3 linked regions of the Drosophila melanogaster genome follow. The protein of the gene in region 3 purifies or fractionates together with the protein of the main gene of each other region. This does not show direct contact. Each region holds a gene or a part of one and is shown on either strand. Other genes may lie near its edges. The genes, in order: Syp, U2af50 and Hexo2.

Region 1 (8,021 bases), on a different chromosome or scaffold from region 3:
GAATCCAATGCAATTGAGCGGCGCCTGCAGCCGGCACTTTTCTAATTCGCCAAACTATGGGGAACCCAGTGGATCTCGTGCCCGGCTATCTCAGCTTAGCTCTTGTCCTACTCGAATTGGCCTGGGGTTTTGTGTCGGATTGCCTCGGTTGGGTGGTTTTGTCGGATCTGTTTGGGTTGGTATGGGTTGGCATGGGTTGGTATGGGGGTCGCGTAGCGCACACAAAAGCGCTTTTCGGTTTACGACTACTCCGTATGGCATTTGTTCTTGCCTCTGACTTTTTGGGCACGTTTTTGCTCGGCTGGAGGATGCTATAAATTTAGTCGAAAAACATGCAAATATATATTTTACATATTTGCTTGAAAAAGGATTGGATAGATTGCTCATAACTTTTGTCTAATTAATGAAAGTGGGAGCCACTCGACAGGCAGCGGCGAGAGTTTACAACATTTGCGAAAACTTCTAAGGGGTGGCAATTTGTATTTGTATTTGCTTTAAAATAGTGGCTTACACGTAGTTATACTTCGCAATAGGTAATCAACATCTGTAGAATGTATTGTCGACGAACTTTGTTATAAACCAGGGTATCCCGAATTTCAATCCCCAAAACTGGCTTTATTTGTGTGTGCTTTTTTTTCTGCAACTACTAAAGTTGGCTTTCCACTTTCTACAACTCTAGCTCCGACATCGACTCCTGGGGGCATCTTTGGCAGCCATAAAAAAGCATGCCATTTTCCTCTCTGGCAAACTTTTGTGTAATTTTCATTTTGTGCTTGTCGCGTGCCTCCTATTTCTCCAACTCGCCCAGTCCCAGCCCACTTCCTTCCATGAGCCGGTGGCTTTATGTACTGTTGCAGGAACGTCGTACCTTGTTTTTTTACTACATATTTTTGGCAGTTGCACAGCGCAAATACCCACGGACACGGATAGACACAATGCCTCAGTCTGAGCAACTGTTTGTACATACTGTCCGTACTGTCCGTCCGTTCGTTTGTCCGTCTGTCCGTTGTTGTCGCTGCCGCAATGCAGTGAATTCGGCAGGACCCCAAAGTTTTGGCCTGGCCAACACGTGACTGACCTCCTCGAATGGGATGACTTTCTGGGGTCACGGGATGTTGGGCGCCATTTTCATTTGTTGATGCGGCCGGGCAGCTTCCCTGCACTTTTGCGGCCACAAAATGTGAGCATCAAATATTGAAAACACTTCTCCGGCCCCGGGGCTGCACAGTTTATGACCGTGGCTGTGGGACCCCAGTGACGTGGCCAAAAAGAGCTTTTTTGGCAGATATTGCAACGACCAACCCGCCTGATTGGTTTCTTGGCAACAAAACCCCACTGAACTGCCACGAACTTGTTTCTGTTTACTGAAATAAACCCGACTTGCAACTTATTGCCATGTTATCTTTGATTTTGGCATCGGGTCCTAAAGAATATGGTGTTCGCTGCAGCCCGGCCACGTGACTATATTAAAGAGCTTGGGATGAATTTGTTTAAATGTTGATAAGATATAGAAAAACAAAAATTATCTGATGGAGGTAAATAAAAGCAGGGGAATAACCTTAAATAGAGACAACCTCCTACGTAACACACATCTTAACGTAAGGGTATGATAGGAATTTCTTTGAAGAAAATTTACGATATTCCTTTTGTATTAAATTTGAATGTTTTCGCCAATGCATTTAAATAGATATGATTGAAAATAGTTGGAAATCTGTAATTAAAAGTAGAAATCTCTTTTCCCAGCGCCTAAAAGCAGGCCGACATCCCTGTTTACACCAGTGCCGAAAAGTAGGCAGCAAATCCTTCGGATTGCACTTTAAATGAAGGTCCTTCAAATATTTCATTAAACTTCTTCTGTAACCCCCCATAAATTACAACAATTTTCATTCATTTAATATTCACCTAAGGCCGGATAGCCATCCTTTCTTCCCTGCAATCTTCACCGTTGTCTGCCGCCTGCAAGGCGCTTCCATCTAATTTGCTTGGTTCGCCTGCACTTTGCAGGGAATTTGTTCGTTGTCGCAATGCCATAAATTGTGCAACTTATGCGGCCAACTGGCCGCCTTCTCTAATACCCCATCCCATCAACCCCCTTGTGGGGCTATAAATTACAAGAAGGCATTTGCCACACTTCCGTTTGGGGGCCTTCATTCAGGTCTGCTGCACTGTCTGCACTTTTCACTTCGGCTAGTCTGGAGTTATTTTTGTGCCTTAAATCGGCTTAACTGGCCTGGCCGGCGGAGTTGTAGTTGCGGCTCAGCTGGGCCCGAAGGGTTCTGAAAATCAATAACCCCCAGCAAGGTTGTGCTATAGAGAGCCCCATTGTTGTCGCCGTTGTCCATGGCAATAACATTTAAATGGCTAGGGCTTCTTGAAATTCAAATTGCGAAAGCACAAACTTTAACACTTCCTCAATGCCACGGCGAGCAACCCCTGGACTATAGCCAGCCGCCACCATCCTAAAGATACTCATAGTTTCTGCAGTCTACAGTCAGTCTGGCTTCGGTTGACAGAAACAGGGGCGGAGTTGCCAATTTGCCATTGGGGAGATCTTGTAATTCTAGACCAGACTGCTGCCGGCGGCGACGTATTGTCTGGCAGACGGACGCGAGTGACGAACAAATGTGGCAAAACGATTTATTTGGCTTTATCAGCAATTTTTGATTCTCCTTTGTCTCCCATTGAAAAAGCGCCGCATTAAGTGCTCCGCCTGCGTTTGCGGCGATTTGTCATATCGCTGATTTACTAACCTTACACCAGGCATTATCTCTTGGCAAAGGAGGCCGAATCCGAATCCGAGTCCGGAATGGCGGGGGAGAGGTGGAATCCGGGGCGAATCACCCCTGCTAGCAGCTAGAGGGTGACTTTTTCTGTTTTTTTTTTTTTTTTTTTTATACAACCGAGGGTGTAACTAACCGACACAAGTGCAAGAAGGCAGGATATGCCAGGATATGCATGTGTGTATGTATGGCTGGCTGTGTATGTTTGCGCATATCGCCGGCATCAACATCAAATTTATTGAGGTAGTTGCCAAGCGGCTCTGGCAAACAAAACGAGCATGCAAAAAGGAATGTTCTTTAACATGCAAACGTTTCTTTGTTTTTCCCCCATTTTAGCCGTGCTTCTATTTTTTCTGTACGAGTATATGCATGGGACAGAGTTGCCACCGCTGGGGCAAACAAGCGGCGACTACCCTGTTGCCATAACAAACATGCATAAAAAATGATGACTCGGGCTGGAAAAAAAAAGCACACACACAGTCCGGCAAGTGTTGCAAATTGAAAGCGGTTTTAGGCCAGGAGCCGTCACCTGAATAGCTTTGAGTTCGGGAGACCCAAGAATAAAGACTTAAATTGGCTGTGGTATGTGGCCAGTCATCCTGTTTTTTTTTTTGTTCAGTATGCACTTCCATATGCCATAGAAGCATTAGCATGGCAACTCAGCGTATAAGGAATACCATTTTATCGATATTTCACTGCAATCCTAATGGAATTTCCTGCATTGTTGTCTACTCCTTTCGACTGGCTCAATATCCATTGCCCATGTGTTTATTATTCATTTACTCGCTGTGCGCCGATAAAGCGCTTTTCCTGATTTTCCCGCCTTTCTCGCATCGCCAGCGCAACTTCATGACGCTCCCCCGGTGTTTGCCCTTTTGTGGGCTTCCCTGCGGTTGTCGCCAACACTTTTCACTTACAGCTCGCTGCGTTTTCGCGCCCAACAATCTAGATATACATACATGCATATAAATACATAGTATTTATGTGTTGGAGGGGCCTAGATAATGGGATATGTTTTTGTTGTTACTGGTTGACTGGTTCCGCTTATTGTTATAGTTGTCATAGCGCACATGGCATTCTGATGGCCCCACTGCAGTTGTCATAAATTTGTGGTCTTAATACTTGCACCACACCATTTTCAGGATTGCCACCTCAACAAAGTGGGTTCGGTTCGGTAACCCTTTCTAAATATCGATGCGTAGTTGGCCCTGCTGGGCGATTGTCAAAAGTTATTCCGTAATGTTTTTTGTTTCTATTCAGTTGTGAAAATTTTTCTCGTCTCTCGAATCGTTTCGGAACTATTGATTTTTACTTCAAAAATAAGAAAAAGCGAAAACAAATTCATTCACATTTGCAATCGAAATTCCAAGTCGCCTAAGGAAATTGAAAATTGTTAAATTGTTGCATTACGCGATGCTTTCCCAGATGGAAGCCTCCAAAGTGCAGAAGGATGAAGGGGGCGGCGAGGCTCTGAGCCGCACGATCCTCAAAACACCGTCTTCATTCAGGACCCCCAGCCCAATTCCCAGTTGCAGCAGTGAGTATTCCACGCCGCTGCAAAACACCCAATTGCCCCCGATATCAATCGCAAAGTATTTCAATGTCAGCGAAAACGAATCGAATGCCGGAGAATTAATGCGAAATTCGCAGAATGCCAGTGGAGAGAGCAGCAACAAACAGAAAAGATTTTAGAAATGTTCGGGTTTGCCCATAATTTTTGTGGGTCGCGCTCTATCGCTGGTTTGGCTCTCCCATTCTTGAACGATAGAGCTAGCTGATATTGCTGCTGTTTTTTTTTGTTTTTGTTTTTTTTTTTTTGCACATGTTACGCAATTATCGCTCTCGGCTAGTTGGGGTCCCTCGTTTTTATTTTTGCAGCTTGCTTCGTTTTTGTTTGAACGTCAAACACACACAACTTTCTATATGTATGTATGTACATACACATCGTACATATATATAATATACATACGAATATACGTGTACACGCGAATCAAAATAGCATTTGCTGATAGTGTGGCTGCTAAGGTAGCTTTCTATGCTGCGGCCTGTATAGGTGAGCGTTTGCCACTTGACAACTGTGGAACATTTGCATTTTCATTATGAGTGTGCCATAAATATTCATTTATGATAAATGCCTGTGTGCAGCTGCGGCTGCAATTGCAACGAAAGCGAACAGCTCTTGTTTCCGCAGCTCAACTGAATTTAGCCACGGAACAGATCATAAATAAATGTATTAGGCTGATTTAACATAGCAAATCACGTATACTACTACTTTTAGTCAATAAAACTACTAATACTAATCCAAGTCTAAAGTCCAGTAGCTTCAAACACGGCAAAAAGTGAACCCACTAGATTCATCAGCTGTTACCAGGGCAACTAATACGTCACGCTCTTGTGAGCGTGGCCGAACACATCGCGTATACGCAACACGTCACGCACAATTCGCAAATCGCGCCTCTTTTCGTTTGTTTACATTTTGGCCAATACGTTTTCATGCGGCTCCCTCTTTCTCTTCTCGTTTGCCTTTCTCCTTCTCTTGCCTTTCTCACGCACTTTTCGGTGCTCGGATGCGCGCTCTTCTGGATCGCAAATTTGTGCGTTTCGCATTTGTTTGGAGTCAATGAACTTTGTTGCTCGCTTTGTTGTCTCCTCTCTCTCCCATGCTCCCTGCTTTATCGCACTCCCCGTTTATCTCATTCCGCGAGTGCGTGCGACGGTGCGTAAGTTGCCAATTTTTCGTATTTCTCGTATTTCGCACATTCTCGCGACCCATTTTTTACCAAGCGCTCGCCGTTTGTGGCTATTTTGCGTTCGTTGAACTCTACAAGGTGATTTTATAGGTCGCACAATTTGTGGGTGCTCACTTGAATGTATGTTTCAAGAATATTAATATTTATGTATAAATACTCAATATATATTTATAACATTTTATTATCGTTGCACTTGCAGAAATGGCGGAAGGTAATGGCGAACTGTTGGATGACATTAACCAGAAAGCCGATGACCGTGGCGATGGCGAGCGTACAGAGGATTATCCCAAGCTGCTGGAATACGGTCTGGACAAGAAGGTGAGTGCTTTGAGAACCCAACACCACATGCCAACTATTACCAACATTTGCCACATGCAACATATGCTCCTAGGTCGCCGGCAAACTGGATGAGATCTACAAAACCGGCAAGTTGGCTCACGCCGAGCTGGACGAGCGCGCCCTGGACGCGCTCAAGGAGTTTCCCGTCGATGGTGCCTTGAATGTGTTGGGACAGTTCCTGGAATCGAACCTGGAGCACGTGTCAAACAAGTCCGCCTACCTATGCGGCGTGATGAAGACGTACCGACAGAAGAGTCGAGCCAGCCAACAGGGCGTGGCCGCGCCCGCAACTGTCAAAGGTCCCGACGAGGACAAGATCAAGAAAATCCTCGAGCGCACCGGCTACACATTAGATGTGACGACAGGTGAGAAACATTTTCAAGTACTGGAGAAACTTTTATCTAATACTATTACTTATACCGTACTCAGGTCAGCGTAAATACGGCGGACCGCCGCCGCATTGGGAGGGAAATGTGCCAGGCAACGGTTGCGAGGTTTTCTGCGGCAAGATACCCAAGGACATGTACGAGGACGAACTGATTCCGCTATTCGAGAACTGCGGCATAATCTGGGACCTACGACTCATGATGGACCCGATGACGGGCACAAATCGTGGTTATGCATTTGTCACATTCACAAATCGCGAAGCGGCCGTCAATGCAGTGCGACAGGTATTTAAGCCAACCACAGATCATCCATACCACCAACCACCAGTCCAGCCCAGCCCAGCCCACCTGAAAACCCAGTCTCCCCAATGAAAACCCCACCCCATCCGACCCTGACCACCAAATCAGTTTGATCCCCGCTTCAATGTTTTTACGTATTGCTAACTCTTAAGACCTATACAAATATCCTATATATATACATATTTAACGTATTGTATCCACATATTTACTATCGTGTTATAACACATCGGATGAAGTAGGAACAGTTATGCGGCCAAAGCAAAATTCAAATATTTGAAATTCTCCACAGCAAGAGCGAAAAATTACCGATTTGATCACAACCGATTTGGCGCTTTTAGATCCGACCATGAGAAATTCTGCAATTCCATTTAGTTTTTAACGTATGCTTACTTTACCTCTCTGCCTTTGCTATTAAGAATTCGAACTATGGGCAACGCTATCTGTCTCACTCTCTCGCTGTCTCTCTCTACTTGATCTTTCTGTAACTTATGTAATGCATGTCCCGTCTCCTATGAGTTGTAATCTTGATTTACGCAAACGAATCTCTACAGCGCCCTAAAATCGTTCAAATTGCAAGTTTGAAAAGAGTTCTCTCCTCTTCGAATAAAAGATTTGGCCTCCTCCCTGATAAATCACACAACCCCCTACCCTCCTCTCTCTCTCTATCGTCTCTATATCTGTTCTACTTCCTTTTTAGTTGAATTTTCTCTTGTCTTAAGCTCAGCTATGTAGCTATCAACTTTTGTAGACAACTTAGCAGCGTACGTTCAAAAATCTCACTGTCTGGTTTTATTTAGACGAGCATGACCAAAAATCTAGACCATGATATTGGGAGGCAAGACACGTTGCCTCCATATATCACCTGCCCTAACCAGTTAACCACTAACAAAATGTTTTTCCTTTAACATTTCCAAAACGACACTCAACCGAAATTCAGACCACGCGGCCCGCTTCAAAATTGGTAACGAAAACGATAAGATTTACAAATCCGTATATTATTATTTAACCCATTCCCCTGTTCTTATCTACCTTATTTGCCTTAGTTCAAAATTATTTACTTGTTATGATTTTATTATTTATTTATTTATTATTAACATTGAATTGGTATTAAAACGAATCGTTTTACCTTCCCTCCCACAATTTAGCTCGATAATCACGAAATAAAACCCGGCAAGTGTCTAAAAATAAATATAAGCGTACCGAATCTGCGCCTTTTCGTAGGCAATATTCCCAAGTCAAAGGGCAAAGATGAAATTTTAGAGGAATTTGGTAAACTTACAGGTAAATTGACAAACACAAAATTAACCAAAACTGTATTTTAAATTACCAACACTGGAGCTGCTATCCGCCACTCCGCAATCGGCACTAAATTGTAAACAAAAATCCAATTGGCTATACCAACAAACAACATTGGCTAATTGCAGGGAAAAATACTACAATAGTTTGTTTACTAGGCTAGGTTAGGT
Region 2 (6,940 bases), 7.6 Mb from region 3:
CTAAATATATTCTACATATATGGCAAGGATTATAAAGTTGTAATTTTATACACTGTCACGTTGATTTTCTGTTGTTTGTGCATCAGGAAAGCCCTTTCGTGATGTGAAACATCTTTGATTTGAATACAATCTGCGAGTCAATAGAAAAATCATTATATAAATATCATTTTGTGCATCCACATTCTTTACACAATTACCTATTTCATGACATCCTCTTAATAACCGTTTTATACAGACTTCAATCGGGAGATACATCAGTTTTCTTCGCAAAAAATGAAAGACACTTAGAGTAGCAAATGTGAGCGCCTTCAGCTATAAAGAAAGTTGTATTATTGCGAAATTCAACGATTATATATTAAACTTACAGCAGCAAAAACTATATAGTAGACAAGGGTAGTGGGTAACAAAAACAGAATAGCCGAGAAAAATATGGTAGCTAGATATAATTGCCGATTCATATAGTTGTGGGACTCAGTGCGACCTGAAAAGTATAAGAATTGGTAAAACTTAACATAGTGCTTAGATTGGCAAAAACCTTAAAACATACCTTTTAAAATGTTGTAACGATTGCCTCGAACCACTTGCCATAGAACAGAAAGACCTCTTCTTTCCACATTGTAGAGGCTATGAAAATAATATTATTGTTTGAAAGCGGTCAATATATATTGCAGAAACTTACACTTTGGTATAAATATAGAAGCAATGTGAATGTAAGCCAATAACGGATATTAAGTCCACTAGTAAGGCTATCTGGAATGTAAAACCCAAGCATCCAATCATTCCAATGGCCAAGAAAACTTGTCGTACTAAAGGTTCAATGAAATCTGTAGTAAGAGAACAATGTTATCAATCTTATCATGCATTTAAGTAGACCCAAAAGCTTACCCAAAAATGTTGACCACAGCTCAATATGATATTTGAAGCAGTCGAGAAAGAAATTATTTAAATGTATATTTAGCTTGAGGCCAATGGGACTGCCCTCTAATACTTTCAACAGGCCGTACAATTCGTCAATAACGTACTACAATAGATAAGCAATAAGTTAATGTCACATATGTAAAATCAAATTTGTATGGCGGACATACATGAGATATTTGTATTAGAAAATCACCAGGCTGTGTGGCAAGCGTAAATAGTATTAGCATCAATATAATCCCCAGTATTCTATCAAGAACTATATTAGCCGGTCGAGATCTGCTTGATAGAAACTAAGTAATAGTAATATGATATTTAGCATCATCGATTTAACCCAACTACCTTTTATCACATGCTGTCTGCCATTCCTTGAAATGCTTATAAATAGTTGTGTGAACCATAATGCTGTTGATAAATACATTTTCCGCCATATATTCGAATATCTTAATTGGAGAATCGGCAATGAGTGTTAAGCCATATTGGATACTCTTGTTGGCATTATTGTTTGCCTTGTTTTGGTTGTCAGCAGTTGGTTGATTCAGTCTAGAGAGCTCCAGAAAGTCGCAATCGGTGCTATCATTATCATTGTATTCCAAAGATCGCCTATTTTCAGATTCACCAGATACGAACAGATTTCGTACCATTTGCTTGTCGTAGAGAATCACTTTAATGTGCTTCAGATATTCGGGCGTAATGCCCAAATAAACCAGTGTTATATTCGCCTGACTGCTATTGTATGTGAAACACAATCGCATATTGAACTTAAGAAATTGGTTCTGGTCCGCATTGAAATCCTCGTTGAGAATAGAGCCCAGGAAACGCAGATTGCCCTTTTCATGATTTATGGCCTTGTCACTGAACTCCAAATCTGATGCTTCCAGCACGTAATACGATACGACATTATCTTCATTTATTTGCACTTGGCCGTACAAATTGGTTGACTTATTGAGGTAATAATAGTTGACCGGTAAATATATCTTAATGCTCATAATATAATCGATTAACTGACAAAAACACCGGTATTTCTTCTCTCAATCAAAACAAAACAAATACAGCATGCTTGAGAAGGTGGTATACAATTGAGTGTGACGTCACCGTTTGTTGATTAACAAACTAGGGAGTACAGAATAGTTGCAGAATCGTATATGTCAGATGTCGCTTAAGCGTGTATTTTTATGTATGTATGTATATTATTATTATTATATTATTATGTATGATTATGTATAATAATTTATATAAATATTTTGCAGTAATGGACACCCTACAAGTGAAATTTATGTCGATAAATCGTTCAACGACACTTCGAAACTGCCAGTGTCGCACTGTTAGCCCTCGGCTATCGGTGGTCCATTCCATTGTTTCTCAGTTTTCACGTGTTCTTTTTTAAGTCGTTTCTTTTATATTTGCGTTAATATACGCAATAGAGGGACACATTTTTCTTCGGCATTTTAAAGAGTTAAAATTGTTTTCGTGTTAAGAAATATTAATTTTATTTAGCAACAAGAATGGGATATGATGGTGAGTTCAATGAAGAGAGCAAGTAAAGGGCCGCACTGAATTTGATGCCCAAGTGTGCATAAATAGATGTTTATGTATATATATGTATGCATACATACATACAACTATAAATGTATGCAAAGAAAGTGAAAAATGTGCAACTGAATTTGTTTATCGCGGCAACGCAGCCTGCTCCTTGTTTCATTTTTTTTTATATGTAAAAAAGGTCTGTTGAATTAGGGTTTTGTTAATAATCGCATTCATTCTAGACCGGTTGTTTTTTTTTCTATTTCGATGTTTCGCTCATTCATACATTCATACATACGTACATACGTTGAGTTTTGAGTCTATTTTTAATAGAATACAGTGCATTTCGGGATGGAAATGAATTTTGAAGATAAATATGTGAATATCGACAATAAAGGCGAGTTCTTATGACCATAAATGCTTCTAACCATACACCATACACCGAAATGTGTCCTTGTTCATGGCTTACATATGCGCGTGTGCCCGTGTGTATGGCTAAATTTGTGTGCTCTTCCTGGGTGAGGTGGACAGGGACGGGACACATTTGCGAAAATAGCGATTGGAGAATCAACATATTTAATTCCTATCGTATTTGCAGACCGTGAACGCGATCGCGAGAGACGCCGACATCGTTCCCGCTCTCGGGACCGCCATCGCGAACGCTCCAGGGATCGACGCCATCACCGGAACTCGAGGCGCAAGCCGTCGCTTTATTGGGATGTACCGCCGCCGGGATTCGAGCACATCACCCCGATGCAATACAAAGCCATGCAGGCGTCCGGACAAATCCCGGCAAGCGTTGTGCCGGATACACCACAAACGGCAGTGCCCGTGGTCGGATCGACAATTACCCGACAGGCGCGTCGCCTGTACGTTGGCAACATTCCGTTTGGCGTCACCGAGGAGGAAATGATGGAGTTCTTCAACCAACAGATGCATTTAGTTGGGCTCGCCCAGGCGGCCGGCAGTCCCGTCTTGGCATGCCAAATTAACTTGGACAAAAACTTTGCTTTCCTCGAATTCCGATCGATTGATGAAACCACCCAGGCCATGGCATTCGATGGCATCAATTTGAAGGGGCAGAGCTTAAAGATTAGGCGTCCGCACGATTACCAGCCCATGCCGGGTATAACAGATACGCCGGCAATTAAGCCCGCTGTTGGTAAGTAAACAAATATCCTAATTTTCATTGGCACACGGTCTAATCAAATAACCACCATTCCACATTCCAGTTTCCAGTGGAGTTATTTCGACAGTGGTTCCGGACTCGCCTCACAAAATCTTCATCGGAGGTCTACCAAACTATCTGAATGACGATCAGGTTGGTTCAACATTGAAACGTTTCCATTCGAATTCTCATAAACATTTGTATCTTCTGCTGCTGTAGGTTAAGGAACTGCTTTTGTCGTTTGGCAAGCTACGAGCCTTCAACCTGGTTAAGGATGCCGCTACTGGGTTGAGTAAGGGTTATGCTTTCTGTGAATATGTCGATCTTAGCATCACAGATCAGGTACGAAACTACTTCAAAATTGCAAACAAACACAATCTTAACTCTAACTCTCTTTCGATTCCTAATAAAATTTGTAGTCGATTGCTGGCCTAAATGGAATGCAGCTGGGTGACAAAAAACTGATTGTCCAACGAGCCAGTGTGGGCGCCAAGAATGCCCAGAACGCGGCCAACACCACGCAGTCCGTAATGCTCCAAGTGCCGGGCCTGTCCAATGTGGTGACCTCTGGACCGCCGACTGAGGTTCTTTGCTTGCTCAACATGGTCACGCCCGATGAACTGCGGGACGAGGAGGAGTACGAGGACATCTTGGAGGACATCAAGGAGGAGTGCACGAAATACGGAGTCGTGCGGAGCGTGGAAATTCCACGTCCCATCGAGGGCGTCGAAGTTCCCGGTTGCGGCAAGGTCTTTGTCGAATTCAACTCGGTTCTCGACTGTCAGAAGGCGCAGCAAGCACTTACTGGACGTAAATTCAGCGACCGCGTTGTGGTCACATCATATTTCGATCCCGACAAATACCACAGACGCGAGTTTTAGATACAAGTAAATCATATATCTCACATTCACCATTTGTCCAATAAATATCAGAATAAAAGTAAAATTTTGACTACGAAAATACGAAGATACCATGAAATAGAAAGGGATAGTCGCTTATTTCATTGTGAGCCGGAAGTTGGAAACGAAAACTCCAAATGCTTCTAATGGGTTGAAACTGTACGTGAGTTTAAGGGTATATAACATAACTACTTCATTCGGTGGCTTCCTCAATTCTCAGAAATCCAACATATAGAAACAACTTTGTATATATATAGACAGCTAACGCCGGATAAACATTTATTTGGCATTAAATAATTATGAATGTATACGTATGGTGTGTGTTTACTGAATTATAAGGCAATTACAAAAACAGTTGAAAATATCTATTAGACGTACAGATACAAATCACTTAAAAACGGAACGTACAAATGAAATACATTTTGGGTACATATACACATACATATATACTAAGCATGATTTGCTAATGCGCTCAAACGCGCAAAATGTCCAAATTAGAACTATTGTGCGAATGGAAACAGCAGAATGTTTGTTAAATAATTAAATGCGAGTGCAAGACAAATGATATCGATCGTTTCAGTGGGGCATTCGTATGGAATGCAAATAGTTTCAGATTAAAATCCTAAATGATTCGCATAGGGAGCACAATTTCCACTTCTTAAATCGACTAGTGCATTTTATGAATATCTAGATATATAAATTATATAATGCATTTAGTAATAATACGTCTATTGAACTTAGGCTTTAGATATTTAGATTTCGCAGTTTAGAGAAGAAGCTAAGTTAGAACTTTGATTTTATAAAAAATAGATATCTTTGAGCTATATTATTATTTTTCAAATATTTGTTATTTTAGCAACAGGTGTACTTCAATAGTTAACGTTCAAACATTTAAAATTTCGATCATTTCGAATTTTAAGGCACGTTCATTTAAATGTAATTGAATAATTACATTTTATTTTAATATTGTTTGCAAACTTTTAGTTTTTGTAACATTAGCTACAACAATCGTGGTTAAATAACATAGACACAATTATGTGGTATATCGTAATTGTTAAACAACTGGAAGACATATGTAATCAAAGTGGTTTAAATTTCCTTTGCCCTTTTTTTTTTATAAATTGTATTATTACTTTAAGCTTTAAAAGAGAAAATAAAAAAGGTAAATGCTAAATGATTGAAATGCTGTTTGAGTATTTGTGCTAAGAGAAAGGTCTAAAATAGTTTTCCAGATAACATATGAAAGTGGTCTATTTTCTTCAGTTAAAAGTCTTTAAGAAGATTGTAATATAATACTTATGAAAAGCTGATCCTGAAACTGAATATCAAATGCCCATTAAATTGATGCCAATTGAGCTGTTTATGAATTGTTTCTATTTCTAATTTTGGAATCAACTTAATGTACTTAACTTTTGATGGTAAAACTGGTAAAATGGAAATAGCTCAAGTTCCCTAAATCGAAATCAAATCAAATCTGGTTTGCTTATGCTTATAATGAGGTGACGAATAGTTAAAACATATTCGTATCATTCTATTCTCCTGAATCAATCTCACGCACAAATACAACATTTAGAGGACAACAGACTTGAATGCTTAGTGTTATGGAAAAGTGTACAAATTATACGGATTACATAAACTTGATTTCAGTTCCAGGAGTTCAGAATTCATTGTTACCATTTGAATACTCATTGTATAGTATGAACTAACCATAACTGCTGATGTGTATAGAAAGTAATCTAAATCTAAATCATACGTTTCAGATCCTAAGCTTTTTAGACAAATTACAAGTGAGAGAATCAGGTTCATAGTTCGATGAAATGTTCTTATGTACAAGTTGTTGATAAATTGCTTTTGCGAATTAAGTTCGCTTTCCTTTTGATCTAGCGCAATTGTTTTCGCAAACACTCGATTTGGAATCATTGATATTGATCCAGCTAACTCAGCAATCCTCTTACGGTGCGGTAACATTTGCTATCTTAATGTTGATCAGCAGGGACGATAATTCCAGCTCCTCGCTGAACTTATTTCGTAGGATGACGCTGCGATAGCCCTGGCGAATGCAGGTCAGCGGATAGCACGCCTGGGCGATGAAGTGCGTCTCGGCGAACATATCCTCGTCCTGCACTTCGAAGCGAAGGATCGCAAACTGTGGATTACGCACGTTAAACTCGCACGATTCATTCCACACCGGATTGAAACCATTTTCATTGACTTTGGTGCGATACTTAACGCCCGTATCAAAGCTAGCGCCAATCAATTCGACCACGATCTGCGGATTGTTCGATTTGCCGCCCCGGAATAGATGACGTGCGGCTATCAGACGTATGCTAACTTTAACTTCGCTTAGGCCATCGCACAGCGGATTGTTCGGATTGAAGCTGTCAGATTTCATGAACGATGGCTTTAAGATATAGCCACATTGTCCATTATTCCG
Region 3 (8,481 bases):
TTTGTGTAATTTATTTGCCGTTTTGCTTGTAATTTGTTACAGTTTTTTAATCTTGCATTGTTCTAAGCAGCAGCATCCAGGGGCGTGGCCTATGAGGGGGGCGTGGCACACAAGGGGGGGGGGGTGTGTGGCAGTCAGCGCTGACTGACGCAAACGGAATGAAGAACCTAGCGGCTGACGGACTCGGCACTTGCATCCTGTCCAAAGTCGTGCAGAGAAAACAAAGTTCATATCATTTTTTTAAGATCATAATCATAATCATCATATTTCTAAAATCATCAGGTTCTTGTTTGGTTTTGTTGAGTTGCTATTATAAAGTTAAATGCAAATAATTTATATCCATGAAATGAACTAACAATATTTTCTCTCTGTGCAAAAGGGGCGTGGCCCAGGTGAGGGGAGGAAGAGGCCGCAATGTAATCAACATCATAATCAGTGGCGATGAACCCCCAACCCCCTCCCCCCCCCCATCCATTTGAATGCACTCGAAATAAAAGCCCAATATGTTTACTTTTCATTTCACCTTGAGCACTTAACTTAAGTTAAGACTTAAAATTTATAATATTGTTATTAATCGGATAGCTAGCCATTCGGTTTAGAAAGCTTCAGTAATTCTTTTGACCTTATTTTTCCCAGTGCAGACGCATCTGTGCATCTGCATTGTCCTGGAGCGACAGGAACAGCTGCAGCTCCTCATCATCATAGAGTCTACCGCCTTCCCATATCCATAACCATGTCTACATCCAATCCCCGCAGCCTGCCCCAACTCCTCCTCATCCTCCGCCTGCTGATTTCCATTCAGGACCTGATGTCCGAGTTGGGCAAAACTCATTTGGTCCGCCCACATGTGTGAAATCCTGGGGATGAGCGCGTGAGAAGTGCACATATGAGGTATATATCTTGTTCACTTAAATATAATCAAAATGCGTTTACTATTGTTATTGTTATATAAATATGTTGGAAAGCTAACTTACCAGCTACCTTTAAAAGTGGTGAGTATTCAAAACCTTGTTAGTTTTGAAATATGTATGTGCGTATTCAATAGTTTTGTGGCTTCAATGAAGCACGAAAAAGATAGTGCACGGATTATTTCGAGAAAAGTCGTGGTGAGTTTCGAGATCGTGTTGAATGGTGAGTGAGGGGAATCGTAATGTGCAACTATCGCTTCAGCCAACATCCCCGCATCCATCATCTCAACCGCCCGATTACAGCACTCGCACGTACTCTTTTTAATTATTATAATTTTACATTCTAAACACAGAAACGCACACATGCTCACGGGCAACAACAATGGGCAAAAGAATAAAGAGCGAAGGCGGCGCTATCGCATAATTCAAAATTCATTTCGAAGGCGCACAAAAGGCGCCCATGGAATTAAAATGGAAATGGAATTGGAATTGGAATCCAAGCCAGCGACCACATAATAATACATATTATTAATAAAAGAGAGAGAGAGAGAGAGAGAGATGCATGGGCGCATACAAGAACTAGATGTGCGAATGCCGAATACAATAAAATAATAATCAACAATGCCCAGTCGCACACACAAATAATGTTTTTTATTTCACCATTTTTTTTTTTTTTCATTTGTTTTCAACTTCAAAGCTTTTATCGAAATCATAATGAGGGTGGAACAACAGCGCGTTTCGCGACTAAAATTATGTTCCAGATTAAAACAAGTAGATGTTTTGTAAATAAATTTATTAAGAAAGTGATTAGTTAGTTAGTTGCTTTAGCAATATGTTCACTTCGTTGTTAATTTGAAGTAAAATAAATGTTCTTACTCATATTGCTATGAAATCAGTTTGGCTGAGTGGTACACAAATCAATTTGTCACTGATTTAATTAACTTATTAAGCCAATTAAATGGATTTAAAGTAATGTGCATGCAGAGTTTTTATATGAATGCATTCAAATTTATTACCCAACATTACCCATTTCAACTAAGGGAATACATCTTTTATTTTGCCTTACAGTCACGGCCTCAACTGTACGTGCAACAACATGATAATACAAGACGAATCAAATGCGAAAACTCAACGAAAAATCGACGCAGAAACAAATGATAAATACTAAAAAAGCACAAATATAGTTGTGTATCTTTGGAGGGATAAGACGGTGGTTCCATTCCCCATTGCTGAGTTGTTTATCTATCTACTATAAACAATAATTTTTTGATTATTTGTGTTAACTGAAAATTGATACACCGTTCTATCTTGTTTATAATTAACTGCTGCTTTGTTTACCTCGAGGGTGGAAACTCATTTGAATAATATTTTCGAGATGTATTATTGGAATCTTAAATGTTGCAAGTTCAATTGGCATATACTACATGTATCTACATACTACACATGTGTGTATGTACTTATGTTTAATTAATATGCTGGCTTTCTTAACTGCATTTGTGCCGAAATTTGTGAAGAATTAGGTTGATTTAGTTAAATTCTTTTTGGTGTTTTGCACGCTGGCAGTTTTCAAGCCCACGATTATTGTTGTTGCTGCGGTTCTTGCACCGCATATACATACATACATGCATACATATGTATGTATATATTTTCCATTTTATCACTCACCCCACAACTTCCGTATGTGGGCCACTCTCCAGGGGGTGGGGTTTGCTTCAAAGAGTGGGAGATATGCTGATTTCACAGCACTACACAGGCAGAAAAGACGTGGCACTTCATGCATCAAGTGTCCTGTTAGTATAGGGAAGCTCATTTAATAAAGCTGTAAAATCTAATTGCCAAGCATTAATGTGGAGTAGCAGTGTAATGCAAGGACTTGGCGTTTCTCGCAGTGTAATTTCAATCCGCGCTCTCTCGCGCTCTTGCACTCTCTTCAATTCAATTGACGATAAGCTCGACTTGTTATTGCTGTTGTTGCGGCCGCTACTGCGCTGCAAGTGAAATTTCGCTGGATTTATTTTATTCGCTTTTTCGATTTCAGCTCTTCAGTGTTGTTGTGCTCGGCGAGCGGAGCGGGTGGGCGGCCGGTTGAAAATAGCGAATACACCGTACACACCCCCCTAACACAACAAATATAGCAAATACCGAACAGAAATTATAAAAGCGAGCGGCGCAGCCAAAGAAGCCGTTAGAAAGAAACGATGCGGTTCAGCGGCTACAATCGTTATCAGTGCTTTTGCTCTGCTGTTGGATCGCTGCTGCTATTATCCCTATTATCCTTCGCGGTCGGCGCTGCGCTGACGCGGGCAGATGACGTCGGCAGCGACGCCGACGCCGGCAGCGCCAGCAGGTTTGTGTCTTTGCTTCATAAAGGAAATCAGTGCAACAAGTGCAAGTTTTTTTTTAAATACATGTTTTGTTTTGGAAGTATAACAATTTTTGCTAACAAAATGCAGTGAAAATACAAAAAACTGACTGTTCTTTATTTTCAATGAAATTTCAAGTGTTATATGCGCTCAGCAGACTAGTGAAAAAAAGTCCAAAAAGTCCACTACTTTTAAATATATTAAAGGAAATCTATTCATTCTACAAAAGAGAACTTTAAAAAACTGCCAACGGATAACAAATGGTTGGTGTCTATGCTCAGCAGGATATCCAATATCTCCTCAAATAACTGAGAGCAACAAGTGAAATCAGTCTTAAAAACTAGAAAATAAAACAAACAGAAGAAAACAGGTGAAAATTTAACTGTGCCAAATGCATTTACATGTTAATTTGCATTCGCTCCAAGTGCAATTTTCGTAAAGGGAACAAGTGCAAAAGGCAAAGCGACAGAATAAGAACTACTTTCTATGCAGCTGCATATATTATTGAAAAGAATTTGCAATAAATAAAGTGAAATCTGCTTTATGTATCTAAATATATATGTACTTAGCTTTATTATAGCAATATCTTCCGAATTTCCAGGAAATGGCTGTGCAGCCGGACGGATATCTGCACCGCGGAGGGCGAGATGGTGGCCGGACTGCAGTACGCGCCGGAGATCTTCGAGAGCCAGCGGGATTGCCGACTGTCGTGCGGCAAGTACGGAGCCATCTGGCCCATGCCCACCGGCAAGGAGTGCACCATATCGCACAGGCGGGTACGATTCGATCCGTGGAAGGTGCGTTTCCATGTTGTGGCGCCCGGCGAGGCGGCCACCCAGTTTCTCAGGGAGACGAACCGGCTGTTCGTCTCGAATCTGCTGAAGGAGTGCATACGAAACTGCACGCTGGAGACCAGCAAGCAGATTCTGGTCAGATCCACGGTGGCCAACGAGAGCCTCGTTCTGGACTGGCCCACCGACGAGAGCTACGCCCTGGTGGTGCGAACCACTGAAACGGCCACCTTTGTGGACATCCAAGCGACGACGGTGTACGGTGCACGTCATGCCTTCGAGACGCTGAGCAACCTGGTCACCGGCAGCCTGTCCAATGGCCTGCTGATGGTCACCACGGCCAACATCACCGATCGTCCGGCCTTTTCGCATCGCGGCGTCCTTCTGGATACGGCCCGTAACTTTGTGCCGCTCAAGTTTATACGCAGCACCTTGGATGCGATGGCGGCCAGTAAGCTGAATGTGCTCCACTGGCATGTGGTGGACACGCACAGTTTTCCGCTGGAGATCACCAGGGTGCCGGAGATGCAGCGTTACGGAGCGTACTCCTCATCGCAGACGTACTCGCGCCAGGATGCACTGAATCTTGTGAAATATGCCCGACTGCGGGGCATACGGATACTGATCGAGATCGATGGACCCTCGCATGCGGGCAATGGCTGGCAATGGGGTCCTGCCGCCGGACTGGGCAACATGTCCGTGTGCCTGAATCAATCGCCCTGGAGGAGATTCTGTGTACAGCCACCGTGCGGCCAACTGAATCCCCTGAACGATCATATGTACGCAGTGCTCAAGGAGATCTTCGAGGACGTAGCCGAGGTGGGCGCTCCCGAGGAGACCCTGCACATGGGCGGCGACGAGGTGTTCCTTCCCTGCTGGAATAACACCGACGAGATTCGGGATGGGATGCGGGCACGTGGCTACGATCTCAGCGAGCAGAGCTTCCTGCGGCTGTGGTCGCAATTCCATCAGCGGAACCTCAATGCATGGGACGAGATTAACGAGCGTATGTATCCGGGCATCAAGGAGCCGAAGTCGGTGATCATCTGGTCCAGTCACCTCACCAATCCCCGGTACATCGAGACCTACCTGCCCAAGGAGCGGTTCATAATCCAGACATGGGTGGAGTCACAGGATGCCCTCAATCGGGAGCTATTGCAGCGAGGCTACCGACTGATTGTGTCCACGAAGAATGCCTGGTACCTGGATCACGGCTTCTGGGGCAGCACATCGTACTACAACTGGCGCACCGTGTACTCCAGTGGCATGCCCGTTGGTCGCAGCAAGGATCAGGTTCTCGGCGGTGAGGTGTGCATGTGGAGCGAGTATGTGGATCAGAACTCACTGGGTATGTAAACGCTAGGGAACCAAACGGTGAACCAAACCCATTTAATTAAACCCAATCCAATCCCCTACAGAATCCCGAATCTGGCCGCGAGCTGGAGCAGCAGCCGAGCGAATGTGGTCAAATCCAAAGTCTTCAGCCCTGTTGGCCCAAAGAAGATTCTACCGCTACCGGGAGCGACTCCTGGCGCGCGGAATCCATGCGGATGCAGTTATTCCGCACTGGTGCGTCCTCCACGAAGGACAGTGCCTCTAAATCGGTCGTTCCGAACCTAGTTTTAGCACCAGCACATACCATGTACATACCTTTCAAACTATGTTATTTTATTCATCAGTTATTGCCCATAAAGATCTGTTTTTAATCCAATCCAAAATGTGTTTATAATATGCTTTTAATTATCTGGAGTTACGTTTTGTACATTATATGGGTTACAATTACGAAATACCCAATACTATATGAATTCGATTTTATCATAGAAATTAATGAGCTCACTTAATGTAGCCCTGATCGATGGCGTGCTTGAAGATATCAGCCAGTCGCTGCTGCTTGGCGGACTCCTTGAAGGGTGTGATATTCCAGATGTCGGTGAGAATGGCGTTCTCCTTGATTCCATCCAGATCGGCCACCTCATCGTCCTCCATCATCGTCATCGGCAGCGATTCGATGCCCATGCCGCAACCAAAGCGACCAAAGTTCTTTAGCTCCTCTTGCAGTGATTCCCAGGAGATGATAGACTCTGCATTGCCACCGAGATCCTGAATCAAATCCTGGGCGCTCTCCAGGTAGGCGCGGAGCAGCTCATCGTAGTGCTGTTCCCTCAGCTCCTGGCTAGTGCAGGAATAGATGAAGAAGCTCAGGTCGAGGGCCAAGGAGGAGCACCTGGCCAACTGGAAATCAATGATGATGATCTCCTCCGATTGTCCCCGTTCGTTGTACTTGGTCAGAAAGTTGGGCGTCCAGCAATCGCCGTGCCCGAAGACACTCAACTTGGAGCGAGTGGACACCAGATTGATCAGATCATCGAACAGCGGCGGCTGCAGGAAGTTTGTGGCCACAGTCTCGTATTTGCTATTCGGATAGATCTGCTTGACGGCGTCCGTGGCCACATTCTCCGCCAGCAGGAGGAAGCCCGTGTACCACTCGCGGGTGTGTTCGCCATAGTAGGTCTCCTCCAGCGAACCAGCAGCCTTCTCGAAGTTCTTGCTATCCAGGGCATTGAAGGCCAGGGCCACGCCATGGAAACGACCCAGGGTCCGCATCGTCAGCAGGGCATCTTCCAGCGAAATGTAGTCTTGACTGCAAGGTAAGGTAAGGTAATTGAAGTAAATGTAGTTGTATAATTTATAATCAATAAGGGTTAATGGTATTAATGGTAGATATTGAAATAATCTATTGTATGGGAAGTCGACAGATAGTGTAGTTACACTTATTTATAGAAAGCTGATTTCATACGAAAGGGGTGGAGGAGGAGGAGGAGGAATAAACTAACCGTACAGGTGCCCTGTAGCCCCTGGGACCCACATCCTCCAGGGCGATGAAATCGTTGACGCCATCGCACAGGCTGGCCAGGCAGCGGGGGTACTCCACGAAGGGCTTCTTAGGCGCGGGCTGGCGGGACTTCTGGAATGCCTCGATGGCCGGCAACACCTTGGTGTAGAAGTTGATCTCGTTGCGGAAGAATATCACCGAACGGAAGAGTCGCCGACGGTGCAGATTGTCGGGCATGGCCTTCACGATCACACTGATCTCTAGTTGCTTCTCATCCTGGCCCTCTTCCGCCTCCTTGACGCCGTAGATGGTGATGCGGAAGACACGGCTCAGATAGGCGTCGCCCTTCTTGCCACTTGGGCCAAATTTGTACGAGGTGTGCCGGGTGCCGCCCGCGTTTCGGATGATCTCGTCCAGCGTCGCCTCCGAGAATTTGGCCGAAATGTCCGCGAAGCTGGGAAAGGTGCTCATCGTGGTGGTGTCCAAAGTGTGTCTGTCGCTGCCGGAGATCGCGATCTGCTATTTGTAACGAGTTAAACTATTTCAGCGCGGCGATAACACGGCGTAATCGGTGAAAAACAAAAATAGAAAAAAAGAAAATAGCAATTGGAAAAAAAACGTGAGCAGGCTGCTTGCTGATGCTTGAATACCCTCGCATTTATATGATTATCTTTTTAATTAATTATTAATTAATACTGCCTTAAGAGCTATAGGATATAGACATTAGATCGTTCGGAATGTCTAAGTGATCACACCCTTTGCAAGAGTATCCAAATACAAATAAAAATAAGCGGACAAGTTTGTTTACCGCGTTTTGTTTGGTACACGTCAGCCGCGTCTACGCCTCCGTCGCAGTCGACGTCGCTGCTCTCACTTACCGGCGTTTTTCACACTTTACACACGTGCGTGAGTTTTCGGTGACGTTTATGGTTTTGCCCTTTTGACCGCCAGCTCGTCGCAAGTGCTACTGATTTTGATTCGGATCGCGGGTGGCTATAAATTCGAAATGAATTACAATGCACAGCAGCAGCAGCTCAGTTGGTCACGCACACAAATGTAGGCACATGCACGCACACAGGTGTTTTGAATCCGAGTGAAGGCAGGGTTAGAGATGCGCAAGCCAGTTTCCAGCTGGTAAAGAGCTAGCGTCGCTTTTAAGCTACTTTCCTGTTGCTCCATTGATAGAAATTAATCCAAGCTATTAAAACCAAATGCATATAGTAATAGTTTAATTCATATTTATATATAGAGTTCCAACTCTAGTTTTGTAGCTTAGCACACTTGATTTTTGCCATCTCTAAGCAGCTGACAGCAACTAGCTGCCAGTGTTGGCAAACGACGCCAAACGTGCTGGAAAGCCTGTGCAGATTGCACGTGTGCCGCTCAACATTTGTTTTTTGTACTTTGATAATTTCCAAATAATCCGGAGAAATGACGGCCGTAGAGCCAGCGACAAAGAAGAAGCGCATCTCGAAGAAGAACAAATCGGCATGGCGCAAAACAGACATCCAGGATGTCGAGCAGTTCCTCGAAGATCAGCGCCAGGAGGAGCGCGTTGGGTGAGTTAGCGGGTAAACAATGTGGCC

The links.
Region 1: the proteins of Hexo2 (region 3) and Syp purify together in Drosophila melanogaster (affinity purification with western blotting, with the first as the bait; one study listed by BioGRID). This does not show direct contact.
Region 2: the proteins of Hexo2 (region 3) and U2af50 purify together in Drosophila melanogaster (affinity purification with western blotting, with the first as the bait; one study listed by BioGRID). This does not show direct contact.

The regions. Positions count from the first base shown.
Region 1 is NT_033777.3:20,786,016-20,794,036, forward strand, and holds the start of Syp (syncrip), read left to right. Parts: upstream 1-3,970; 5' UTR 3,971-4,193; coding exon 4,194-4,317; intron 4,318-5,729; coding exon 5,730-5,848; intron 5,849-5,921; coding exon 5,922-6,234; intron 6,235-6,298; coding exon 6,299-6,540; intron 6,541-7,700; coding exon 7,701-7,836; intron 7,837-8,021.
Region 2 is NC_004354.4:16,354,304-16,361,243, reverse strand, and holds U2af50 (U2 small nuclear riboprotein auxiliary factor 50), read left to right. Parts: upstream 1-2,790; coding exon 2,791-2,836; intron 2,837-3,037; coding exon 3,038-3,601; intron 3,602-3,671; coding exon 3,672-3,760; intron 3,761-3,826; coding exon 3,827-3,949; intron 3,950-4,026; coding exon 4,027-4,488; 3' UTR 4,489-4,548; downstream 4,549-6,940. Other genes in the region: PIG-Q (phosphatidylinositol glycan anchor biosynthesis class Q), read right to left, coding at 30-130, 198-312, 366-481, 548-624, 680-824, 886-1,021, 1,086-1,194, 1,258-1,904; sl (small wing), read right to left, coding at 6,458-6,940. UniProt on the Drosophila melanogaster protein: Necessary for the splicing of pre-mRNA. Binds to the polypyrimidine tract of introns early during spliceosome assembly.
Region 3 is NC_004354.4:8,706,703-8,715,183, forward strand, and holds Hexo2 (hexosaminidase 2), read left to right. Parts: upstream 1-2,949; 5' UTR 2,950-3,106; coding exon 3,107-3,255; intron 3,256-3,872; coding exon 3,873-5,410; intron 5,411-5,480; coding exon 5,481-5,662; 3' UTR 5,663-5,776; downstream 5,777-8,481. Other genes in the region: CG2004 (uncharacterized protein), read right to left, coding at 5,896-6,703, 6,897-7,366; CG1785 (uncharacterized protein), read left to right, coding at 8,327-8,454.